2 linked regions of the Danio rerio genome follow. The main gene of each other region encodes a partner of the protein of the gene in region 2 in a complex. Links are inferred from orthologs where the notes say so. Each region holds a gene or a part of one and is shown on either strand. Other genes may lie near its edges. The genes, in order: ndp and fzd4.

The links.
Region 1: the proteins of fzd4 (region 2) and ndp are in contact, whole or in part, in a crystal structure (PDB 5BQE), measured with the Homo sapiens proteins. The link is inferred for Danio rerio from reciprocal best matches to the Homo sapiens genes FZD4 and NDP. Residues at the interface, in NP_036325.2 of Homo sapiens: Ser51, Met52, Gln54, Asn55, Leu56, Gly57, Gln95, Phe96, Met105, Thr107, Lys109, Ile114, Asn152, His154, Met157, Cys158, Met159, Glu160, Gly161, Pro162; in NP_000257.1 of Homo sapiens: Asp33, Ser34, Pro36, Arg38, Met40, Arg41, His42, His43, Tyr44, Val45, Asp46, Lys58, Met59, Val60, Leu61, Lys102, Lys104, Leu106, Tyr122, Leu124, Ser125.

What each region holds. Positions count from the first base shown.
Region 1 is NC_133184.1:35,437,353-35,441,957, forward strand, and holds the start of ndp (norrin), read right to left. Parts: upstream 2,825-4,605; 5' UTR 2,765-2,824; coding exon 2,660-2,764; intron 1-2,659. UniProt on the Homo sapiens protein: Activates the canonical Wnt signaling pathway through FZD4 and LRP5 coreceptor.
Region 2 is NC_133190.1:48,064,642-48,069,137, reverse strand, and holds the start of fzd4 (frizzled-4 precursor), read right to left. Parts: upstream 2,885-4,496; 5' UTR 2,634-2,884; coding exon 2,397-2,633; intron 1-2,396. UniProt on the Homo sapiens protein: Receptor for Wnt proteins.

The sequences.
Region 1 (4,605 bases), on a different chromosome or scaffold from region 2:
ACAATGCTTATTTCACATTCTAAATACTATATATAGTAGGTGTTTTATCAGTAATCTTTAGAATCAGTCATACAAATAATTGATTAAGGTTTGTGCTCAATTGGGCTCCAGTCAATAAACTCTGTTACTTTGTCCTTCTTACTTTCACATTTAATTCTCTCCAAAGGGACCTCATTAACAATAACTTAAACTAGTCCAGTGATTAGCAGACTAAACCATAACAAAAAATGGGGAAGGATTATTAAATTTACATGTTAACTAAACATTAACATCTGCATTTTGTTTATGTATTGGTGCACTCTGTGGATACATTTAAGTTGTTTAAATCATGGCTCGTACAGTAGGGAAGTGATATATGGCAGATTTGTTATTTATTCAGCTTTTAAACAAATTGGTTGTGTAAATGACTCAGGGACTCACTAAAAGGTCGCCACCAACTAGTCTAGCAATGTAATTAGCTGAAACAGTCAATTACCCTCCCCCCAACCAAAAAAAAAAAAAAATCAGAAATTGATAGTAATTTTGACAAAATTTAACAAGAAATGCCACAGGAAAAATTAAAACTCAATTAGTTTTTTTAAAAACAGTATATTAAAAAACTGAATTGCCTGTGAATACGTTTACATGGACAACAATAATTCAATTTAATCCATTTAATGTGATTAAGACAATAGTCTGATTAAGAGTGTACCCTGTAAACAGCGATTTTTTATGACCTTAATCTGACTAAACTTATAGTCTAACTATAACCAGAAGTCGCATCATTGAAGTGCAATACAGACATGTAAACACCCTAATCAAACTATTATGGTCATATAGAATTTTCGCCACCTTTTGTGACTGGATAATCTATACATGCACGGCTGTTTCACACTATTCTCTGCACCTACCGAGTCGGTGAATGATCACAGGCACCTGCATCACGAAATGCTGAGTCTTTTTTTCCCCATACGGCGAGCGGTATCAAATTCCAGTAAAGCAATGGTCTTCCATCAGGTCATACTCACATCCTATATCTCGTTTGTCATGGGGGCATGAATGAAATGTTCCTGAATGAATGTGAAAGTGAGTACCTGCAGTTCAAGTCAAGAAATGAAATTAAAACACTCGAAATTACATGAAGTTCCGGAGGAAACGTGGAGAGCGTGGTGACACAATGACTTTAATCAAATTATGTACTATATAACATGGGTTATAAAATAGGATCATTAAGGAACATTTAAAAATCAACTCATGTAAACACCTTAATCATATTATTGTCTTTTTCAGATTAAGGCAAATTATTCGATTACTGATGTCCATGTAAACGTAGTTCGTTACAGAGAAAAGGTGAGGTGAGTTACATTTGAATCACTCAAATGTCCCTTGATTGCTGGAGTACTTTAATAAGGATATCAGAAGTGTCTGACAGCAGCTGAGTCTACAGTTGTTGAGTGAGGCGTGTGGTCACCTAGTATTTGCCAATAAGCAGAATTGTCTTCTCAGTCACATTGACATGCCCAAACCCCATCCTCCGGTGATGGGGTTACGTCACTGTTTTCTGCTTGTTTAGCACCCTATTGTTTGACCAGCTTTTAATAAACCAAAGGGCAGATTCCTGCAGGGATCACCCTGCACCCTCCTCCCATGCCCATCTGCAACCCAAGCAGCATGCCAGGGGCACTGCCACCACACGCCGACGCCAGTAACCCGCGTCTCCACAGCTAAACCCTACACTAAATATATCCCCAGTGATAAAGATAAGACAAACACAGCGGATTTGAACGGAGCTTGTTGCCAATAGCCGGGGCACCATGTGAGCCAATGCTAAACTAATGTTAGCTTTACATTTAGCTTCTCAGAAAAGCGTCGGTCTGGTTGGAATGCTACAGGATGAAAGGGTCTGCACACAGTAAAGCCGTGGCGGGGTTTCCAGTTAAATTAATTAGAGACCCTGTTATGTTGTCCTGTTAACCTTCCTGCTTGAATGTGATGTGCAAATTGACGGCTGTCGTCATCTTCTGAAAATACCTCAGGCTTTAATGCTTGATTTCTTTGTAAGGAGCATGCAGAGTCGTCAAAGGACTATTACGTAGTATCAATTATGAGTGAGTAATAATTGATACACAGCGCTGCTTGACATTGCCATAACATCTGGGGAGCAGTATGTTCTTGCTCACCTCGTCCTCATATTATCTATGATTTCTCATCCGAGGAGCTCAGCTAACGACCTCTGGCATAGCAATAAATTGAGTATTCAGTCCCTGCCTGTGCAAGACAAGCAGCTGAAGGCTTACCTTAGCAACCGACCTCCCACAGCCTCCTCATATATAATTTTACCTCGGCTATGAGTCACTTGGAGCAAAATCCCTATGTATGTGTTGTTCATATTAAAAAAAAGCATCAGGTAAAACTGGACTCATGCATTGTGAGGTAGATGGATGAGCCGAATTTCATCGCCAATTCTAGCAAAAAAAGATTTGAGATTTTTAAAGAAGTCTTAGTAGGATGAAGGAATTTCCTGCTGTCTACATGCATATTATTGAGTTTTCATATTTAGTATATCAATGTGCTGCTGAAATAACACAAACAGTACAATGCAAATGTATAGTGATAACCTTGCAGCCAGTAAAAAGTTACTTTGATGGCCCGGTCACCTTTATAACGCTGGTGGTCTTACCTTCAGCCTGGTTCCGTTTAACCTGCAATATCCAATCCCAGCTGGCTCCTCTAGGACAGAAATGAAATTTCTTAAGCAACAATTGCCTTTAGATCTCTCCCCCATCCACTTGCTCTCTTCTCTGTTTCCCTTTTACTCTCTCTCTCCCGCATGCCGATTGTGTGTGAGCTCTGACTCTTCCCCTCCCTCTCATCTCCCCTCCCCTTCGCTTCGACATTCACACCCCCTGTTTTATTGAGGAATCACATGGAAAAGGGAAAAGGATAGATGATGTACATCTTGGGATGGTTGTCAGATGTGGAACGTGACACAGCAGTCGTATATCACCTTAGGGACACACACACACTCGCCCCCAGCTGCCACACCAGCAAGCAAATGGGGATTCCAGCAAAATCAGAGGACTGACCAAAAGTATGGCCCTCTTTTACGAGGTCCAGGTTATAAAACTGTTAGCGGAGTTAGTTTACTTAAAAACAATTGGTCTGCTGGGTTTCTCTGCTGTCTTCTGCGAGGCTTGGGAGGTGTAACTCAATTCAGCTGGAAGCTATTTGGAAGTATGTAGTTATATGTTGGAAGAAAACGGGGAAAATGATTTTCTGTAGCATAAGAACGACTACAAAGGGGGACACTTTGATAGCTGTCTTTAAATCACGTCTTTATACTTTAGCACAGGTTTTGAAATTGTTAAATATGAAGAAATTCCAGTCAAATGCAAAGCACATAACTGCATTCTTGGGATATAAAATAAAAAACAGATGTGCAATTATGAGTTCCCAATGAGCGCATAATTACTATTTCACATCTCTGAGATGGAGAGAATCCAATGTTTTTCCCAAAGTTTGTCCTTCTGTGGCCAGAAAATGTCCTTTAAACATCACCGTTGAGAAGGCAGTTGAAATTAAATTACTGCAACTATTGGCACTAGAAGGGGAAAAAATTCAAGATATGGACTTTATCCGAAAGCGAATTAAGGGTTTGTGCCTTTAAAATATCCCATTGTCAGATTTTTATCCAGCTGTTTCCATAATACTGAGAACTTTGATTAAAAAAATACTTTTCATGAACACATGAAATAAATGCAGAATATTCAATAAACAACAGCAAATAATGACTAACATACAAGTTTTATTGGCATCAGTTGTTCAATTAAGTGCCTTTAAAGGGGTTGTTCACCCAAAAATGAAGATTCTGTTATTAATTATACAACCTTGTGTTGTACCAATCCCCTGAGACCTTTGTTCATTTTCCAAACACAAATTAAGATGAACTCTAAAGGGTCCCTCATCCTCTATAGACAGTGACAGTTCCAGAAAAGGCACCAAAATTGGAATTCTTAGACAATGTTCTTGGTTCCTTTTCTGGACTTTGACCATTTCAGCAATCAGCACCTTTGCTGTCTATAGAGGATGAGGGAGCTATCGTTTTTAATCTAAAATATATTAACTTGTGTTCCAAAGATGATCCAAAGTGTTAAGAGATTGGAACAACATGAGGGTGAGTTATTAATGACACAAGTTTGATTTTTATATATATTATACACTCATTTACTCGCTGGCCAGTTTATTGGGTACACCTGTCCAACTGCTCATTAACAAAGATTTCTAATTAGCCAATTACGTGGCAGCAACTCAATAGATTTAGGCATGTAGACATGCTCAAGTCGATCTGCGGCAGTTTAAACCAAGCATCCAAATGGAAAAAAATGGTGATTTAAGTTACTTTGATTGCAGCATGGTTTTTGGTGCCAGATGGGCTGGTCTGAGTATTTCAGAAACTGCTGATCTACTGGGATTGTCATGCACAACCATCTCTAGGGTTTACAGGGCATGATCCGAAAAAAGAGAAAATATCCAGTGAGCGACAGTTATGTGGGCGCAAATGCCTTGTTGGTGCCTGAGGTCAGAGGAGAATGGCTAGACTAGTTCAAGCTGATAAAGAGGCGACAG
Region 2 (4,496 bases):
CTCCTGAGAAAATTATAAAGCACTTTTTTTTTTAGTTAACCCACTGTATTCAGCAATGTCTGAAATTAATTAGTTTTTATACATTTTATGCAAATGATTCAATCCCTTCCAGAATCATCACTAAGTAATGAATTATGTCCAAATACAGCTATTAAAGTCGTTTATATCACAGTATATAATGCAGTAAAACAAATTATTGCAATGTCACATTGTTTCAATATCGCGCAGCCCAAATATATACAATGATTACCATGTTATATAACATTTATTATTCAATTTATTTAGACTTTTATAATATTATGAAGCCCTAATTTCACGTATTGCACATTTTAGGAAGCTCTAAAGGGGAAATCAGCATGGTGGGAAAGGTTTCTTTTAAAGTAGCAGTTCACCCAAAACTGAAAGTTCTTCTCACCTCACTTGTTTTTATTTCATTTGTTGAACACAAAAGAAGATATTTTGAAGAATGTTGGAAACAGGTAACCATTGACTTCCATAGTATTTGTTTTGTCCTACAGTGAAAGTCAATGGTTACAGGCTTTTCAGCATTCTTCAAAACACCATCTTTTGTGTTCAACAGAAGAAACTCTTAAAGGTTTGGAACAATTTCAGGGAGACCAAATAGTGAGTTATTTTTATTTTTTGGGTGAACTATCCCTTTAGGGTTTCTTTGCATGAGTAGAGAAATTCAACTGAAAGTTCTTCTCCTTTCACTTGTTCTAAACCTGTTTTACTTTATTTCATTTGTTGAACAATCAAGAAGATAATTTGAAGAACGTTGGAAACCGGTAACCATTGACTTCCATAATATTTGCTTTGTCCTACAATGAAAGTCAATGGTTACAGGCTTTCCAGCATTCTTCAAAATATCATCTTTTGTGTTTAACAAAAGAAAGAAACTCATAAATGTTTGCAACAACTCAAACGAGACTAAATAGCGAGTTATTTTTAATTTGGGGTGAACTATCCCTTTAAGGATTTCCCTGCGCAAGTAGAGAAATTCAACTGCAAGTTCTCCTTTCACTTGCTCCAAATCTGTTTGAGTTTATTTCATTTGTTGAACAATAAAAAAAGAAATTTTTAAGAATGTAGGAAACCAGTAACCATTGACTTCCATAGTATTTGTTTTTTCTACTATAGAAGTCAATGATTACAGGTTTTCAACATTCTTCAAAATATCTTCTTTTGTGTTCAACAGAAGAAAGAAACTCATAGAGATTTGGAACAACTTGAGGGAGACCAAATAGTAAAATATTTAACTTTTTTTGGGTGAACTATCCCTTTAAGGATTTCCTTGCACGAGTAGTTTCCTATTCCGTCGTGCACTAAAAACACATTTATACACCAGCATGACATTTTAAAGATCTAAGAACAGAAGTGCTCTCCCTTTAAGATGTTTGTGGTATCTAAAGCTGCTTTAATCACGAGATTCTCCAGCAAACAAACATGGGAATCCTAGTGGGAGGTTTTGTCTCTGCTGAATCAATAAAACAACAACTGCCTCTGTCTTCAGTGCTCACACACACACACATACATACACACACATACACACGCACTTATGATGAGGACATCATACTGTCTTCAGAATAATCAACTTAGAATTATACCTAACGTGTGTTCGCAGTAAGTTTTTGATATATTTAGAATTAAGTTCAAATATATTAAGCATGTTTATGAACACTTTGGTTAAAATATTATGTCTTGCATGCTTATGAAGAATTTTTACCAATGTAGGAAGATAGATGTATGTTTTTAGAGGTTTTCTTTAGCATTTATTAAGGACAATTACTGAAATTTGATCATCACAAGTATAATGAGACAAACACTGTAAGGCAGAGTATAGTGTGTGTGCGTGAGTGTGGATTCTATACTCCTGCTGTGCGCACAGATTAGGTTCCTATTTATCCAAACTACTGTACTATAAGTAAGTACTTTATTGGCACAGTGATTTAAATATTTTTTTTTTAATATTACTATAACTTTAATAAGATTTGCACATCACAAATACTTCATAAAAATAAATCTACAATGTTCATCATAACAATAAGACATAAAATAAAATTAAACACATTTTTGCAACTTTGTCATTTTATTTAAGGGTAAATATAGTATAAACAATTATTACTATTATAAATCATTTTTCTACACTCTTTCTATGACCATTATACAATTAATACTGATAATAACAACAAAAATGATTACGAATAATAATAATACTACTAGTATTTTATCTTATTTGTTACTTTTTTACATAATTATGATGATTTATAATACTTTTAGAAGTGTTGCTTCATTATGAAGCCAAGATTTGAAAGCTGAGTGCAGTACTTCTGTGTGATGTGTGTGTGTAGGGTCTGGTTACAGTGTGTGTGTGTGTGTGTGTTGTAATCTCTCACCTTCAGCTGGCTCGAGCAGCCGTACTGTATGAGGGGTGTAAATGTGGTCAGTTGCAGCTCGGCGTCGGATTGTAGCACGTTTCCCACCAGATTCGGCATCTTGGTCACATTGTAGCCTAAATCCTGACACATGGAGATGCGGATCGGGTCGCAGGTCATCTCCTCCTCGTCCCCGAACGGGTGCGCGAGCCCGAACACGAGCACCAGTAGCGCAAACCCGAACTCAAACCGAGCCATAGCGACACAATCCGATTGATAAAAAGTCCGAGCAAATCACGGGAGCGTTAAAATTCCAGCCTACCGGAGTTCAAACGCGCCTATAGACAAAAAAACTTTCTCACAATCCCGTGCCAGAGCGAGCCAATCCGTTTAAAGTGCGAAACGGCACCGTGTCCCGTTAGTCCCGTTCCGGAGTAAACCGTACAGCGCTGTCTACTACGGGTATCAGTCGTTTTGAAGCTCGTCCGTGTGTCCGTGGCGCAGTCGCGCGGGTTCTGCCCGGTTGAGGTCTAGACGGAGACGGGACAGCTGCCCCAGGACCAGCGTCAGCCAATCACAGCCGCGCATCAAAGACAGGGGCGGGGCTTAGCGTGGCCACAATAACACCGCACAATAAAACAGATAAAGTGAGAGAGTTGTAAGTTTAGGTTGACTAGCCTGCACACCTTGTTGGTAAAATGTATATAGATAGTTAAAAACAACTCCATATTGGTTTAATTTTTGATTTACATTCTTCATTGTTTCTTGAATGTTTACAAATTATTGCTTATTAACCCAGTAATAACTGATTACAGTCAATAGAACTATAGTCTCTATTGTCTGTCTGCCATGTTACATGGTTTGTACTTATTAATACTAAAATTAATCTCTAAATGTAGTAGTAGTAGTAGTAGTAAACAAACCCATAATGACACTGATTAAAATAATATATGCATGTCATTTTATATATATATATATATATATATATATATATATATATATATATATATATATATATATATATATATATATATATATATATATATATTTCAAATGTTCTAAGGTTCAAATGGGTTGCTGCATAAAAAACATGTGCTGGATAAGTTGGCAGTTCATTCCGCTGTGTGGGGATGAAGCTGAAAAGAGAATGAATATATATATATATATATATATATATATATATATATATATATATATATATATATATATATATATATATATATATATATATATATATATATTATTATATTATTATTATTATTAGGCATGGGCCTAATAATTTTATCTATAACCTTAGATAAAAATATTACTGTTTCGCAGTATTGTGGTTACTGATCTAAAATATATTCTTTTTAAATGTCTGGGTAAAAACAAAAACTTTTTTCTTTGAACACAATATATTTTATTTTGAGAAACATTTATAATATTTTGGAGCAGTGGAAAAAAAAAAAAAAAAAAAAAAAAAAATATATATATATATATATATATATATATATATATATATATATATATATATATGTATATATATATATATATATATATATATTATTTATTTTTTTTTTTTTCAAAATTCAAATAAATCATTGCCTTCTCCTGTCTTCGTTAGTTTTAAAAACATTTTTTTACTATTAAAAACGGCATCTTTGGATATATTTAGCAAAAAAAAAACTTAAAGAACGTAAATAAAAAATCGTACACATACCTTAGGAATGGTATAGCAGAAATTTTTTAGCAGAAAAAATATATTAGGCATGGGCCGGTATAAGATTCTGATATAAAAACCTTGCACAAAAATATCAGTTTTTCACAGTATGACGGTATTGTGATGGTCTATATTTAAATGTCTGTGTAAAAAACAACAAGTTGTTTCCCATTGAACACAATATATTTTATTTAAAAAAAAAACATTTCAGATATTTTAAAGCAGTAAACATGTTTCAACAGTAAACATGGCTGAATAATTAAAATAAACAATAGACATCTGCTATCTTCATGAGTTTAAATAACTATTTGACAAGGTGTTTTTCAAATAAGCCACTGCACTGTTCAAGTCCATAACATGTTTGTATGTTGGTTTATTAGCGATTTGTTTTTACTTGTTTGCCGAATAGTGGGCTAAAC